Linked DNA regions of Tamandua tetradactyla. The protein of the gene in region 1 binds, or shares a complex with, the protein of each later gene. Links are inferred from orthologs where the notes say so. Each region holds a gene or a part of one and is shown in the gene's direction. Other genes may lie near its edges.

What was found.
Region 2: the proteins of SCN7A (region 1) and SCN3B are in contact, whole or in part, in a cryo-EM structure (PDB 7TJ9), measured with the Homo sapiens proteins. The link is inferred for Tamandua tetradactyla from reciprocal best matches to the Homo sapiens genes SCN7A and SCN3B. Residues at the interface, in NP_002967.2 of Homo sapiens: Arg269, Glu293, Tyr296, Leu298, Glu299, Leu305, Gln315, Cys316, Pro317, Glu318, Gly319, Tyr320, Asn922, Ile923, Thr926, Cys927, Lys929, Ile930, Phe939, Ile956, Tyr957, Asp959, Gln960, Ile966, Tyr970, Met973, Ile974, Tyr977, Ile978, Leu981; in NP_001035241.1 of Homo sapiens: Val25, Cys26, Val27, Glu28, Val29, Arg44, Ile46, Lys50, Arg51, Glu52, Glu53, Val54, Asn95, Gly96, Ser97, Asp99, Gln101, Asp102, Phe126, Phe128, Ala130, His131, Pro133, Val135, Thr154, Ser155, Ser158, Glu159, Met162, Leu165.

Annotation. Positions count from the first base shown.
Region 1 is NC_135329.1:137,857,671-137,865,359, reverse strand, and holds the start of SCN7A (sodium channel protein type 7 subunit alpha), read left to right. Parts: upstream 1-4,441; 5' UTR 4,442-4,850; coding exon 4,851-4,860; intron 4,861-7,689. UniProt on the Homo sapiens protein: Sodium leak channel functioning as an osmosensor regulating sodium ion levels in various tissues and organs. While most sodium channels are voltage-gated, SCN7A is not and lets sodium flow through membrane along its concentration gradient.
Region 2 is NC_135334.1:17,129,817-17,137,990, forward strand, and holds the start of SCN3B (sodium channel regulatory subunit beta-3), read left to right. Parts: upstream 1-4,933; 5' UTR 4,934-4,995; intron 4,996-5,191; exon of another isoform or gene 5,192-5,407; 5' UTR 5,408-6,074; coding exon 6,075-6,129; intron 6,130-8,174. UniProt on the Homo sapiens protein: Regulatory subunit of multiple voltage-gated sodium (Nav) channels directly mediating the depolarization of excitable membranes.

The DNA of each region.
Region 1 (7,689 bases):
TTGTTTGGAAAAATTGGGGAAAGAAAAAAGAGTGAGAAAAGTTTTGAGTATCTTATTATCATAAACCAAAACAAAGTGGTAGAAATGAATGAGATAATATGATGGTGAGACCTATTGAATTTGAGGAAACAATTCGAAATATATTAGTTTAGCTGTCTAGTTGTTTATTCTGCAACTTGACTTTCTTTCCTATTCATTCCAGTTGGTGGAGAGAAATGTTTACTGCTAAGTTTGGTTATGTTTCTGTGAGCCCTAAAATCTTGAGAAATCACATTTTTCCTAATTTCTATTTGGCAGAGGTATACAGTCACAAAAGAATACCAATTGCAGATTCAGATGTTACCAACAAAAAGTGCTACTCACCCCCGAATATTTCTTCTCCCTTTTATCTACAACAATAAAAACTTCAAATTTTAGCTCACTACCTAGCCACCCAAAAGAAGTATCACATTCTTCAGGCTTCCTTGCAACCAGTGTGACTATGGGAGTTATGGACAATTCAATCTGGATTCAGGGAAGTGTAACCTTTAATGAAATGAGCAAGAACTCCATTTCCCCTGTGCTCTTTTTCTATTGCTTGTAATACAAATGTGTCAGTGGGCATTTTGAATCATACAAATGAGGGTAACACACGAGAGATCACAAATCAACAAGATAGAAAAGCCTGGTTAGTTGATGTGGTTTTGTAGCCCTAAACTGCTTAGATGTAGACAATTATGTTTGAGCAAAATAAGCTTCTGTTGAGTTAAGCCACTATTATTTTAGATTTGTGTTAGAGTGGTTAACGCTAACTTCCATAGACGATATGCATGCATTCAGATATATCCTATATAGACACACATTTCAACAGGACTTCCAGAGAAATGAAAAAGAATTGCAATTTTGTAATTGTCTGTATTTTCTCTTCTATTTTTTTCACACGAAAAAAAAGTCTGCACTTCCATCAAGCCTGGCAGGGAATTACTTGATAGATCAGATGTCACATATAAAATTGCAAAGGGGAATGTGTATGGTCAGGAACATTTGAACACAATCTGTGTATGTATGTGATTTTTATAATTATATTCTTGGCACCAGGGCGATAAGCTAAAGGAAATATATGTATAATGTTGTAAACGATATGTGTGTGTGTGTTTTCCAAATGGCATATTTGGAAAACAAATATTTTTTTGACATATTTTCTATACTGAGTTAAAATCTTTAAATTGATTTTTTTCTATTATTCTTTGCTGACTATACCTGTCTTTTGAAGATTTTTGGGAAGAGTCATAAAGAGCAATATATATATATATATATATATTGCCAGAGGATCTGAGAAATTGTATTCAGCATAGAAATTTATCAGTAGATAATTAATGCTCTAAAAGGTTTTTTTTTAAAACCACTATTTTCTAGATGAGCTCAATTGACTCATACTGTCTATGGTCTGTTGTTTCATTTCCAAGAATCCTTAAGAAGCAAGCCATTTATTTTGTTCCTCTGTGATCATTAAACTACTCCTTACAACTTTATTTGCTGAGGTCCAAATTCTTATAATTTTAGAACTTAGGACAGGGTTGAAAACTGTGAACAAGGTTTTCTTGGAGAAATTCCAAGGAACCCAAACACACAAATAGTAAGAATTATTGTAGAATGCAGTACACATGAAAACAATCATAAGAACTGATTCTGGCTTTGCAGCACTGTCACCAGAAGAATTTTAAGAACTTAGGTACCAGAGGCTAAGTAGAATAAAAGCATGATCAACAAACAACCATCCTGTTCTTCATATAGCATGTGCTCAATTTATGGTTTTTTCTGTGTCAAACTGCTACATTCTTCTTGGTGACCCATAGTGGATTGGGGGCATCTGGATGATTACTCCTTGAATAATAAAATTTGAGTAACTTATGTATGACAAATTCTGTCTTAAACACTGAGGTATAGCAATGAATAGACAAAGAGTTGGCTGTCATGCAACAGGCACTCTAGGGGGACAAGACGGACAATAAATGAACAGCAATAAACCTTTAGTAATCCAGGTAAGTACTACGGAGAGAATCAAGCAGTTACTAGCAATTATAAGATTCACTGCTTGAGTGTGGGAATTGATAGCTGAGGTGTGGTCGAGACAAAAAGCATGTAATAGAAAGAAGGCTGTAGGCATCCATATGCATGAAGGTGTTGCATGATTTTAGGTACATGAATGGAGAGGAAGACTGTCAAGTAGGAAATAAATCCTTAATGAATAAGTAAGACTGTCTATTTATTAAGAAGATGATTGCTACCAGAGGTACCACAAGAAGAAAGACTTGATACAGTAGGAAATAGCTGGAGGACATCTGCTTTAAAGAAGAGTTAGATTCCTTTGCATTTTGAGCAGAGTTTTTTAATTTCAAAAAATTTTTTTTCATACACCAGTTTTTGTGAAATGTGGAAGTTGTGTTGTGGAGGAGGAATGAGCAGGCCATGCCCATTCCTACTCTGGACACGATGAGGTTAGAATAATCAGCCTCCATTTAAGAAGGCTGCAGGGAAAGTGATGTTCCCTATGGTCTATGGCTCAAGTGAAGTGTGATAGAGCAGATTTCTTTCAGTAAAGTTGAAGAGGGGCATGTTGGCCTTGTGCTTGATTTGAGTCACTTCTGGATACACAGTTAGGAAATACAACTTAGAACCCGTGATTACAAGGTTCTTGAGACAGGCATGTGGAAAACAGACAGGGCCGTGGTCTTTCCACCACATCGATTTCCCCTACTGAGCAACTCAGTGGGGAGCAACTCAGCCTGGTATAAGAGCATAATAATTACCAAAATTTGACAGATCCTGCACAGTGACTTTATCTAACACTGGAGGCAAAAATTTGTTGCAGAAATATGGTTGTCTACTCAGGCAACATAATATGGTTGTCTACTCGGAACAAATCTTGTATCATTGGTTTCCTTTCAGTTTCCCATTGCTGGTATTACTAATTTGTACATTGTTTAGGATCAGTTGCATGCTCATCACACATTATGCAAAACAGTACTTCTTTTCATTTATTTCACATATCTTATTAAAGCTTTAAAATATTTGATATTACTAAGTTTCTCATGTTTATATAATGTTTGAGTATGGATGCCTACAATTTACTGGGTGAGAAGGGAAACAAAAGCAGGACTGCTCCAAGGAAAGGTCTATAAACTAGAAAATTTACTTGGTTTGTCACAAAAAATGTGAAAATGAGAAGTCAATAATCCATAAATTGTCTATTAAAAATAAGTAAAATGGATATATGATGCTATAAAATAATTAGTATTAATTTTTAGGTATGATGGTGAAATTGGCTTTATATTTTTTAAAAGTCTTTATCTTTCAGGGCACAGGCTGATGATGTATTTTTAGATGAAATGGTGTGATGTCTGGACTATGTTTAAATTAATCCAAGGTAAGCGGTCTAGATATAGATGAGACAAGATTGGCCAAGTGTTGTTAGGAGTTGAGGGTGGGTACATAAAAGTTTGTGATACTTTGTATTTTTGTATATAGTTGAAATGTTTCTTAGCAAACATATTTTAAACAAGAAAACATGGTAATAGCCATTACTGTGAATCACGGATGAAATGCATTTTTCCTGACATGTTTTTTCTCTTGAATCTGCCTACATTTTCTGTTCCATACTTTGGAAAATCTAAGGTGTACGTCATACAAAATACATGATTTCTTTTCTCTTATCCTCGTTTTCCTTATCTTTTCTTGGTAGGAGGTATGAATTTTCAAAGAAAATGTCATCATTTCAGAACAAGGTAGGGTTATAAAATGAATGTTCTTTGGGGCAGCAAAATTTTCGATACTCCCTTTGAGAAACAAGGTCCAGCAGCAGTTCCCATCCCCAAATACAGTGCAGCAATAGTTTTTGAAAATATGCATATTTTTTCCCCAGTGTTTCAAATCACCAGAGCTGGGAAAGAATCTGCAGTCTGCAGAGTATAGTCATTCCTGCCACATCTTACCTTGACACCTACAAACCTACAGACACACACAACAGCAGACAAAACTGCACAGTTCTGCCTACAACGGCGTGCGGATTTAGATGCAGCTGACTAACAACCGCACCTGGGAGGCTCTCCTAGGACAGCCAGGCCAGGGAGAGAGAAAACCGCTGAAGAAAGGAAAAGAGGTAAAGAACCGGAGTTTGCCTCCTTCCTCTTTAAAGCTCCCTCTTCTTTTCCCTCTCCCTTCCCGGTAAACTCGCTCTTCCTCCCTACCTGCTTTTCTTCTCTCCCCTGCCTTCCTTCATCCCTTCTAGGTCCTCTCCCCTCTCTGCCCCCCTCGCTGATCCCCCTCCTCTAGCAGCCCCCGCCCCTCCCGGGCGGCCGGAGGGAGAGGCTCTGCGGCGGCTGCAGCAGCCCTGGGTGCAGCAGCCCTGGGTGCTGCAGCGGCTGCGGCTGGGCTGTGTCAGAACCGCCCCCGCCCCCGCCGGGTCTGGTGCCGGAGCCGCGCGCCGGCCTCAAGATGAAGGCGGGGAAGAGTGACTCGGCTGCCAGACGAGAGGGAAGTGTGGCAGGAAGACGAAAACAGCTTCCAAGCTGCGGGCGGGGCTCCACTGGACATCTTGGAAGGAGGGGTCTCTGGGTCAGTGGCTGGGTAGCCGCCGCAGCTCCTCCGCGTCTAGCTGAGGATTCAGTGGGGTTGTTGACCGCGGAGCCATCGCGGCCTAGGTGGCATCAGCCGGGGAGGTCAGACGCCAGCCTAGCAACATTTCCTAAGCAACCGGAGCTCAGAAGACCAGAGAAATCCGTGAAGAAGGGGAAGCTCGGGAGGGGGAAAGGGCTCCAAAGGGCCCTGTCCCTCGGGATCGGGTCCTGCAGGTGCCGGTGGAGACCTGTCACATGGTAGCAAGTAAGTGCGTTTTTCTCGCTGTCGGGTCCAGCCCCAGGATGGTGTTTGTCACCACAGCTGCCAGCCTTTTCCACCCCCTTCCCACCTGCTCCACCGCCATACACCACCCTTACGGCCACCGACAGGAGGAGGAGATTAAAATTCTGGACGTGAATTAAGGAGAGCAAAAGAAGCACCTTTTCCTACTTAAAGTGCAGGTGTGGTCTGTGGTATTTGCCCTGCGCTGTGCACGTGGTTGGGTTTTCACAGCACCGTGGAAGCTTCTGAAACGAGACGCTGTGCGTGTAAAATGTCTAGAAATCCGAAGTGGTGATGACTTTGATATTACATGATGATAGTAGGGAAAGAAAAAAAGCTTATGCAAGGATAAGTTGTACTATTTCCGAGGACCCCTAAGTAATCTCTAAGTAATTTAGTGATTTCGACATTGGTGCTTTTCATGTAAGAATTGTCAGTAGAAAGAAGCAGCACAGACCTGATGGGGAATGGTGATCCCAATTTAAACATCTTGGCATTTTGTTCTGTTGGCACCAACAGGCTTCTGTATTGTATAGCTTTGTAAAACACCTACCTTCTGGAGGTTTTGTTTTAGAAATAATGATGTTTTCTTTGTAACTCTGGTTATCGGTTATCTTCAGTAGTTCAGATATTGGCCAAAGCAGGACAAATGATGAATACATATGCGCTAATAAAATAATGGACCCCCTAAATTAATGAAGATGATGGAGTCACCTTTGGATTTCAGCCAAAAACATCTCTTGAAATAGGAAGGTTTTGGGGTGATGCTTGTATATATGGCTGTCCACACTCCTGCCCAGCGCCCCACCGCCGCCAATAATTGCTCCAGACGTAATTTAAGACAAACTAAAAGGAAGCTGGGGCCCTGAATAAACAGATTATGGAACCCCATCCTGTTATTATTAGACCTATTTAAACATTTTGTAATCCAGCTGCTGCTTTTAAAAGGAGAAAGATAAGGCCTAGAAGAAGTAATTTGATGAGGTTACCTGGCTAGTTTGATTAAGCTGGAGGCTCAATGAGAAAAACCTTGGGGTTTACAATTATAAAACATGATTTCTATCCTTGTGAAATAAAATGAGTTATTGAACGTGATTACACATTTTTTGTTATTTATTTGTAAATGACACATCAAAAAGTCCAGTTAAGAACTGATTGTAGATATTACATGAAGAGTTTTCTAAAGCTAATATCACATGTAGCCCTTACTTATATAAGGAATTATTTTGTTTTTCCCCACTGCACTCTTCTATCTCTCATTCTAAATCGAGTTCAATGCAAGAATAAAAAGACGACTTAGGCCTAACTGGAATGTAGTAGATAAAGTGAAATTCAAATCCAGCTGATGATCATTTGCCACTTAAAATCTAAAGCAAATTTTAACTTGCAAGCCCCTACACTTGCAAAACTTTGCGTTTTGATTAACACTCGTGTTTTTTAAAATTTGAAATATTCTCAGAATATGTCTTACTCTCTTTCCTTTTCAGCATTAGTTTTTGTTTCGTGTGTGATCCAACTCTCTCATAATTAAACCATTGTGAATATTGGATATCGATGAATTTATTTGCCCCATTAATTAAAATGGGAGAAATTATAAGGTAGTAACACATAATCTACTCTTGAATGCTGGGAATCATTAAAACCGGCACTTAGGGAAAGGTACAGTGCCCTTTCTTGCCCATATGTATGTTTTAGAGCAATAGTAGAAAAACATGAAGTTGGACCTCGGCTTAGGAAAAGAGGTCAAGAGTCCAGATGGTAGAATCAGGCTCTCGGACCTGCTACTGGATATCAGTCTCCTTGGGAGATCTGGAGGTAGAACCAAGTACTTAGGAACTCATCATTCGGTTTCCACAGCCTCATATGGTACAGGCTTAGGGAGGGAAATTGAAATAAACTCTCGCTGATCTTTGCCCAGGTAGGACGAATAGAGGTCTAAGGCACACTGGGAAAGGATGCAGCAGTATCCTAATGCTCTGCCTGTCCCACATCATATTGGCAGAGGATCTGTCTTGCAGAAATTAGTTCAGACAACTGGGATCCTCAGAGACAGGCACACACACTTAAGACTTATGGTAGAGGTTTTAGCATAGAAGGACATTCTTGATTCCTGGGAGTTTGGTGCCATCATTTCCACAAACATATCCGTATTGGTCAGTTTCTGAAAAGGACATCTGTAGCCTACCTATCCTCACCCCGACTAGTTATCAGCAAGGTCCAGAGTCACCCACTGTTGTCAGATTTACTTTACAAACTGATCTCCTTTTTTCCTGAATTGGTCATTTTTTAATCAATATGAGCTAACCAATGCCAAGTAAGCCAGGCCTCACCTCTGCAATGCTGAAGGAAGAAATCTTTGAGGGAATGTTTTCATATGAGGGTTTCTAGGGAGGTTTTTCAGCTTGTCTGTGTCCCATCTAGGCTCATGAATTCCATATGTTTGTTCAGTCAATGAAAACCAGGCTCAATCTGGCTGTACTCCATCTCATGGGAGAACACCTATCTCTGTTTTATATTTAGTATTTCTAATATGACTAACTTGATCTGGTACTGGCCAGAAATAAGCTGCTGTGTGGACAGCTCTGATTGTGGTGAGAGTTAGCTGCCAGACTGACCCACCTTCAGCATCAAACAAGAGCTTGATGAAAAAGCTTAAGTGGGGTCCCACACTGAAATTCTGATTTTAAGAATCTGAAATTAGTATAGGGATTTTGGTTGTAGACAAGAATATCATCTGATGCTGATATTTAGCTAGAGGCGGGGTTGAAAATATTGTGTTGGGTGGAATATTCCTCCCCCTTCTGCCTGCAT
Region 2 (8,174 bases), on another chromosome or scaffold:
ACTCATTAGGGGAAATTCCAAAGGTTCAGAGGTTCCCTCCCCAGGAACTGGGGATAAAGACCAGCCAACATTTTTGTTATACCATACATGCTAATAGAAATTCTGGAAATACAACTTTTCTTCTCAGGAGCTTGAAGCACCATATCAGTTATATTTTCTTTACTCCCATTCAAATGTTGGGATTCTCATAGTTACCTATTGACAGCCTCCTCTTTGAGGGAAAATCTATGGGCTCCCTGGGGGTTGGTCAGAGGCAGTGTGACATGAGCTTCTTTGTAGACTGGGTGCGGTTTGGGTGGAGGTGGGGCACTCAGTGTCAGGGAAGCCTTAGCTTCCCTAATCATTCAGATGGAACTCAGTTCAATGCAACAAACATTTCTGGCCCCGTTTTACCTGCCAGTTTCTCTGCAATGAGCAGGTCCAGGAAGGGACTCTACAGTCTGATCATTGTGTTAGTGCTTCCTGTTCTAATCCCAAACTTCCCTTGGCCGGTGACAGCAGCCACCCAGCTGATAGGCAGTATAAGGAAATAATTGGGGGAAGCCTGATACCTTTCGATCTTTATGCTCTTTGGCCACAATTTTAAATAAACATGTTTCCCCTCTCTCCTCATCCCATGGCTTGTGCACTGTTTTTCAAAACCCACTTAGAGGAGCAAAAGCAGGTTACTTGAGTTGGCTGGGTTTGGCTCTGATTTCTGTACCTTGACTTGAGGTATACGATGATCTTGAAATGCTTTACTTCACATTTTCTTGGCGTTCTTCTAGGCATCAGAATAGCCCATGATGATTCCAGGCCTTGTGCTTTGTCACTAATTTCCCTGTTTCTCACCAAGCACTACTCTGTGGATAATTTTAGGCCACCTGCTTTATTAAAACCGATAGGTATGTCTCAAAGTTCCGATACTCTATCGTTATTCACAATATCACTGCCAGTGACACAGTCTTATTTCCCCATGGTCTTAGTGAAATGAGTCTCTTTCCCTCAAGAAAACTTAATCTCTCCCTTCATTTCTCAGATGCCATTTCTTCTTCCTTCCTCACTAGAGTCATTCCTTCCCCTCCACCTCAAAGTCTCAGGTCCCATATTCCCTCATCCTCAATTCTGAGCACGGTTAGCTGGAATCCCCTCTAAGGAGGCACGTCCCACAAGTCTTGAGACTTTCTCTTCCCTTGCTTATTGTAGCATTGCAATATTCTGGATCTTGTTTTATTTTTTGACTTTTCTTTTTCTGTTCCTGCTAGTGATTCCAGCATCAGCTATTTGCTCTTCCCACTGTATTCTCACTCCTTCATTCATTTACTTATTTGTTCATTCTGGATTCATAGAGGGCCTAATACCTGGCACTAATCTAGACACAGGGATAGATACAGTGCTGAACAGGTCAAGCAAGGTTCCTGCTTTCATAGTCTCTGCATTCTGGGACAGAAAATAAGCAAGTACATAAATGAAAAATTAGTTAATTTTGAATAGTGATAAAAGATATGATGAAAAAGAAACAGGGTGGTGAGATAGAAAGTAACTTCAGGTAGAGGTGGCAGGAAATCAGTTTAAAAATGGTGCCAGGGAATGCCCCTCTAAGGAGAAGTAGCAAGACCTGAATGATTAGAAGCCAGACATGGGATGAAGAGCATTCCAACCAGAAGGGCCATCTAGTGCCAAGTCTCTATAATGGGGAAAAGCTTAATAATTTTGAGAGGCATTAAAAAAAAATGTACAACTGGAACATTGTGGACAAGGCAAGGAGTAGTGGACATGAGCATGTAGTGATAGTCAGGGATCACAGGAGACCTTGGTTGGCCATCATGAGAAGTATGGATTTTATTTTAAGTGTAGTGGGATGCCATTGAAGAGCTTTAAGCAAGAGTGATACATGGTCTTATAGAATAGACCAACAGATTGCTCTGCCTGCTGTAAGAATAAAATTAAATTTAGCTTTCACACAAGATGGTGCAGGAAAGGGCTGCAGGATAGCTTAAATGGGTCTTGCAAGCAGGGAAAGAGAGAGCCTCTGACGTAAGCCTAGAATTGGTGCCAAATAGGTAGAAACAAGTTTAAGTAAGTAATGGCCAGGGCCATTGAAATGTAAAGCATAATCAAAAGTGGGAACCTACAGTGGGAAATTTTAATTAGACTATCCGGATAGGCTGTAACTTGCGGCATATCCAATCAGCAGAGAAACAGGGGAGGGGCCTGCGTGCGAGGTTTAAGTGTATGATCTGTAGTGTTCTATCGTTTGGCATGCCAACCACCATTTTTCAGCTGGGCACATGTTCTTGCAAGATCATGAATAAATTCTTTTCTTCTCCACAATTAGGTGAGCGTATTCTCTTTCAGGTATGGCTTTCTTCCTAACAGCAACTATTTGGAGAATGGAATAGATAATTTCATCCATCAGCAGTAAGGGGAGGTGATCATTAAATTGGAAAGGGTCAAGTAGACATTAGCAAAAGAAATTGATGGAAGAAAAGAGGAAGGGATAACAATTTAAACGTCTCAGAAAGACTCTCAGAAGAAAGCTAAATGTACTTCAGGGAACTTAAGGAAGTTGCAAAAATGACTGGGAACCACTGCAAAAACTCAAGGGAAGCATCAGCAGACTGAGAGCAAATGTTCCCATTTTCAGTAGTGGACAAGAGTGGGGAGGAACTTAGGGACACTAGAGGCAAGTACATTTTTCCTAAAACCTCATGTAAAATCCTCAAATTGAGTATTTAAAATGGGACTGGTAAACATTTAGAAAAGGGAAATATGGTTGTTAGCAATCAGTATAGATAGACATAAGAAAAACTATGCAGAACTAAGCCAAGTTCCTTCTATGGTATTTGTGATGATGGTGGGGGTTGTTAGAATCATTGGCCTAAAAATATCTCGACCACTCTATGTATCTCAAGTTCGGCAAGACTTTTGACAAAATCATAAAATCTCAAAGATGACTGGAATTTTAGCAATAATTTTCTGCAAATTCTAAGCCATAGAAATTTTCTTTCCTACAAATCCCATTAATTGGTTGGATAACAGCTGCTTGAACTTAATGAAAGATAATTCATTCTACCTTGGAATGGTTTGAAATGTATTACTGTAAATCTGTTTCCATATAAATGTCAGCCACTGTTCCTACTTCTTTTCTTGGGATCATTGTAGGTCTAATTCTTCTCACATAATGGCTTTTGTTTTTCAGAATATGCCATGCTATACATGTGGAAAATAGGGAGAGTGTTTGGGTATTTATTTATGATTGTGCAATCACACTAAAGAAGTCTAATTAGTAGCTCATTGTCCAGGAGCTAGAGTGAGGTATGTAGAAGCACGCCAAAGAACTCTCTCTTTTGTTTTTTCCTGTTCATTTAAAAAAAATCTATGTTTGGGTCAAGTGTTTGTCAAGCCTAGAGTTGAAGCAAGCCTAAAGAAGAGAGTGATGTTGGGTGTTGAATCTGGGATTCAATAAAAGTATTATTAACAGGATGTGATAATTGTTTGAAATGAGTAAATTTTAGCAGCAATAAGCACAAAATTTTACAGATTTCTGAAACTTGCTATATTGAGTACAAAATGAATCTGCAACAGCTCAAATGAAAAGTGCTTAGATTTTAATTGACCATAAGCTCATTATGAGTGGGATGAGGCTGTAACTGCGTGTAAATAAACATACCCTCTAAAGTAAGTGTGGCCATTATTTCACTGGATTTATGCTGCCAGCATGACAGAGAGAACATCAGTTCCTATTCCGGATGTCACTTTGAGAAGCCATGCTGACAAATTAAAAATCCTCCTAAGAAAGAGACTAAGATGGCTAAGGGTTAGTAACCACTAAGAAATACTGGAAGAAACTTATGAAGCTTATGTCTAAACAAAAATCTTGGCATGGGGAGTGAAGAAGCACAGACTTTTTAGGAGCTAAGAGTTGTATTTTACGTCACAAAACAGTGTGAGGACCACTTAATGGAGTTTTGGGAGGAAGGGTGTACAGAATTCAGTTGAATAAAAATAGCTTCCTTAAATTTGGAACTTGGGAAGTGATAATCTCTCATCACTGGACTAGAGTCAAACCCACTCCTCAGGAATTTTGTTGGTGGATCCAGTAACTGGAAAGGTGTTTGTCAATTTTAATTTCCCACCCAAGGCTAATACAGCATGCTTCAAAGGGTTGGTCTTCAGAAGCACACAGAAGTTATGTCCTGGTAGCTAATTGCCAGGGGAAGAAGATCCAAGCTTGGGGACAGTCTGTTGCCCTGTGTTACATTAGAAGGGAGAATTTCCTGCCCCTGGTTCACTTACAGCCAGCTGTTACTCTGCGGTTCCCTTTGGAATATCGACGTTAAGCTACCGCTTTTGGAAAGGGAGCCGGGAACAAGAAGAGGGGAGGAGAGACTTTTGTATTAATCACTTCAGTTCCAGGCATTCCTCAACTGTTTCGTCAATTTCAGTTTATAAGTGAATTTAAAGGTTCAAGCTTCCCTGCCAGAGATGGAGCGAGGCGGAGCGGGGGCGGGGGTGTCATCGAAACAGCTGCTTGGATTGAGGAGTGGCTGATAGTTGGAAGAAGCCAAACCACAATCCACCTGCATTTAAATTAAAAAAAAAAAAATTAGAGCAAGAGGGGAGACTGCAAAGAATCAGAGGAAGGGACGAGGATCCCTTTTTTGCCCCCACCCCCACGCCGTTCTTAGACAGGCATTTGGATCCCCTCACTGAGTGATGAAGTGAGCATAGGAACAGGTGCGCCCCACTCCTATCCTCATTTCCCCTAAATAGGGATCATCTTGCTGCGTACGGTGTGCCCGGAACCAATTATTCAAGGCTAGACAAAAGACAGACCAGGAGGACAGGAGGGAGACCTGGTGGGGGAGAGAAGCGTGGGGCCCTGCACTATGTACATCGCAGATGACATCATTGCCTGAAAGCGATTTGGCCCTCCCCTTCCCGGAGCCGAGGATCAGAAGAGTGTGCAGCAGCCGTGTGGGGTTGTTGGAGGGTGTGAATTTGTGCAAGGAGGTGCGCGAGCGCTGGGGAGAAGCGTGGAGACGTGAGAGAAAGACCTGGAGAGAGCGAGGGAGCTAGCGGGGAAACGGCTAGGACGCCAGGCGTTTGCGCCGCCCTGGGCTCCGCCCCGGCTCGGCGCTGCGCTCGGCCCTGGGAGGGGCACGCCCGCTGGCGGGTGGGGAGAGTGTGCACGAGGGGGTGGGCCCAGGGTGGCCGTGCGGGCTCACAGCCCCCTGCGCAGGTCAAGGCTGACCGAGTGCACAGGACCTGGGGGCTGGAGGGGCAGCTGGATACCCGCCACCGAGAGTTGGGCCCCGCATGATCCGAGGGCGCGCTCGGGGGAAAGGGCTTGCCTTTCCCACCCATCACCACCCCTAAGATCGTAGGCCGGACGGGAGCTTCCGCCTCTTTCTCCACCCTTCAGGATCTCCCCGGGAAGCAGAGGACTGGCGTGGACGTGACCGACGTGGAAGGAATTCTCCAGCTCGGACGCGCGGCCCGGGTGGCTTCGGGTGTGGGGGACACGCCCAACTGGAGAAGCCGGTCGGAGCGGAGAGAACCGGAGCTCCCGGGGTCTTGGTGGATCCCGGGCGCAGCGTGGTGGTGCCTAGGGTAGACGAGGTGGATAAACATGGACCCCTTCGACCGCCCAGCCCCCAGAGCCTAAGAGGCTACTCATTTCAGAGCTGAGCTTCCCGCGAGGCGCAGACAGAAGAGAAGCAAAGGAGTTAACTGGAATGTGACGGTCGGGGGCTGGCGGGGTAGATACTGTCCGTGGTGCTGAGCCGGATCCCAGCAACTGGCTTGCGGGAAAGAGAGGCATAGAAGGTGGGGGAGCGCGAGGAGCTGCTGATCCGATCCCTCGAATTGGGGCGGTCTGCTAAGGTTGCTTCTAGCTGAAACTACCCCCCGCCTGACTCAAAAAGCCTTCAGAGACTCCCCAGTCACGGGTGTTTGACCCTTCTTTCAATCAGAGAGTCGCCCCCTTGGGGCAGTTCTTCCCAAAGGGTTTCCTCGAAAGTATCTGAAAGGGCGCAGTCTTGACCGAGGGAATCTCTCTGTTTAGCCCCGGAAGCCACCAGCCAAAAAAGATGCCTGCCTTCAACAGATTGTTTCTTCTGGCTTCCCTGGTGCTTATCTACTGGGGTAAGTACCAGCACCCTGCCGTGCCAGATGCAGATAACAGTAATAATGTTCAAAATAATAAGGCTTATTGATGTCATTGATGATAAAAAGGAGCTGTGGTTGGCTTTCTCTCTGTGCATCTCTGCCAGACATGGAGACCATAGAGATTCCTTGAGAGCTGGGATTTTGAAATTGGAAAGATACCCCCTCCCCCACACACACACACTCACCGTTTTATTTCACAACCTCCTTTAGTGGTTCTTCCTCCTCTCCTTCAGTTTCCTGACTATTCCAGAGGATTTTTTCCCTTTCCCTTTGCTGAAAAGGAATGCAGTCACATTCATTGTCAAAAATCTCTGCTGCAGTCACACAGCTCACTCTTAATGTGTCAATACTCCTGAAAACCTTGCTGAGTCTTCAAAATAGTTTCCATATATATATATATTTGCTAGATGCATGCATTCTGAGAGTGAAAATACTTTAGGTGTTGATCTATCTGCTTAATTTTAATAGTGAATGGGAGGAAAGTAGGTTTCAGCTATTTGCTTATTACTATTATGTATTTGATAAACAGGGAACTATGAATTCTATCTTGACCTTTTTTTTCATGGACATATGGAGCTAAGGTGATTTGATGTTTGTGGAACTGGGTTATTTGTCTTCGAAGATGAATAGACTTTTGCTTGTCCGAGGTGACCTTCTCCCTCCAAATAAGGGTGTCCTGCACTTGCAACAGTAAACGAGGGTGGCGTCAGAGATGGGCTTGGAGTGGGGTGCCTGAATGTGTGTAAGAGGGAGTTAATCAGTCTATGTGATGGTGGTGTCTGAACATGTGACAGAGCAAATGATTTACTGTGCCAGTGTGTCTCTCAGTGTCTGATATATGCAAACATGTCTGGCATGTTAGTGTGGAATGCTATGGGGAGGGTAGGATAATGTGACTGTGCGTGGGGGGGGGTGCAGGTCTGGACATCTCTGCTTTGGTTTCTCTGGTTTGATTATCAGATCAAATATAAATGCTTTCCAGTTGATATATTGCTTTATGTGATGTTAGCGACTTACTCCATGCTAAAATCAATAACCAGTGTTGTTGAAACCGGGCATGTGGGGTTATGCTCCCATGACTGGCATGAAATCCATTCTGCCTGTGTAGTGGCAGACATGTTGATGGGAAACACCTCTTCGCCTTAGTATTACTTTGTCAAACCTCCAGGTCTGACTCTGGCTGCCAGCATTATCTGGATTTTGCATGTGACTGGAGGTACAGCCAAGCTTCCTGTTGAACAAAATGCCTGATGAGACAGGCTAGGAAGGACAAGGAAGAAAAATAATTCCAATTCCAAGGGCAGACTCATCGTCCTCCATCCCAGTAGAGTAGATAAAACCTGGAGATGGAGCAAACATAATAGGTTGCCAATGATCTCACCTACCTTGAGGATTTAAGGTTGAGATTTTCCCAGGGGAAGCCAAGACTAGGGACATAAGGTTTAGGAGACCTTAGTCTGGCTGGAAAGGTGAGTGTACAGGGAAAGCAACTGGAGAGGAAGTTGTGCAGATGGGTTGGGTGAGATTTTTTCAGAGACTTGAATGCCCTCTCCAAGCCCCAATATTTCCTCATTTAAGTGTTTAGGGCTCTGCCTGAATTCTTGGGAGGGGAGAAGCATGGTATAGTCCAAGAACCTTTCTTCTGGGACTTGAGAAGGCTGGGTTGAAGTCCTACCTCTGCCACTATCTTACTATGTAACAACCTTAGTTCCATATTCTTCGTAGGTAAATTGAAGACGCTAGGGTACATGATCTCTAATATCCCTTTTAGCTCCACCACTGAATGGTGCAGAAATATTTACAGAATATTGTTAGAATTGGCAGAGTGCCCAATCTCTCCTTCCCCTGTCCCCTCCTCGGGGGCCTTGTACTACCCCCCACCCCCCCAAAAAAAAGACCTGTGGAAGAAGTGTGCATATTACACACATCCTTACTCAATCTCGGCTGCTCTGTAACCTGAATATCAGTTTACCACACTGAAAAACTGTAGAGAAAAATAGAGGTAATTCAGAAAAACTTGG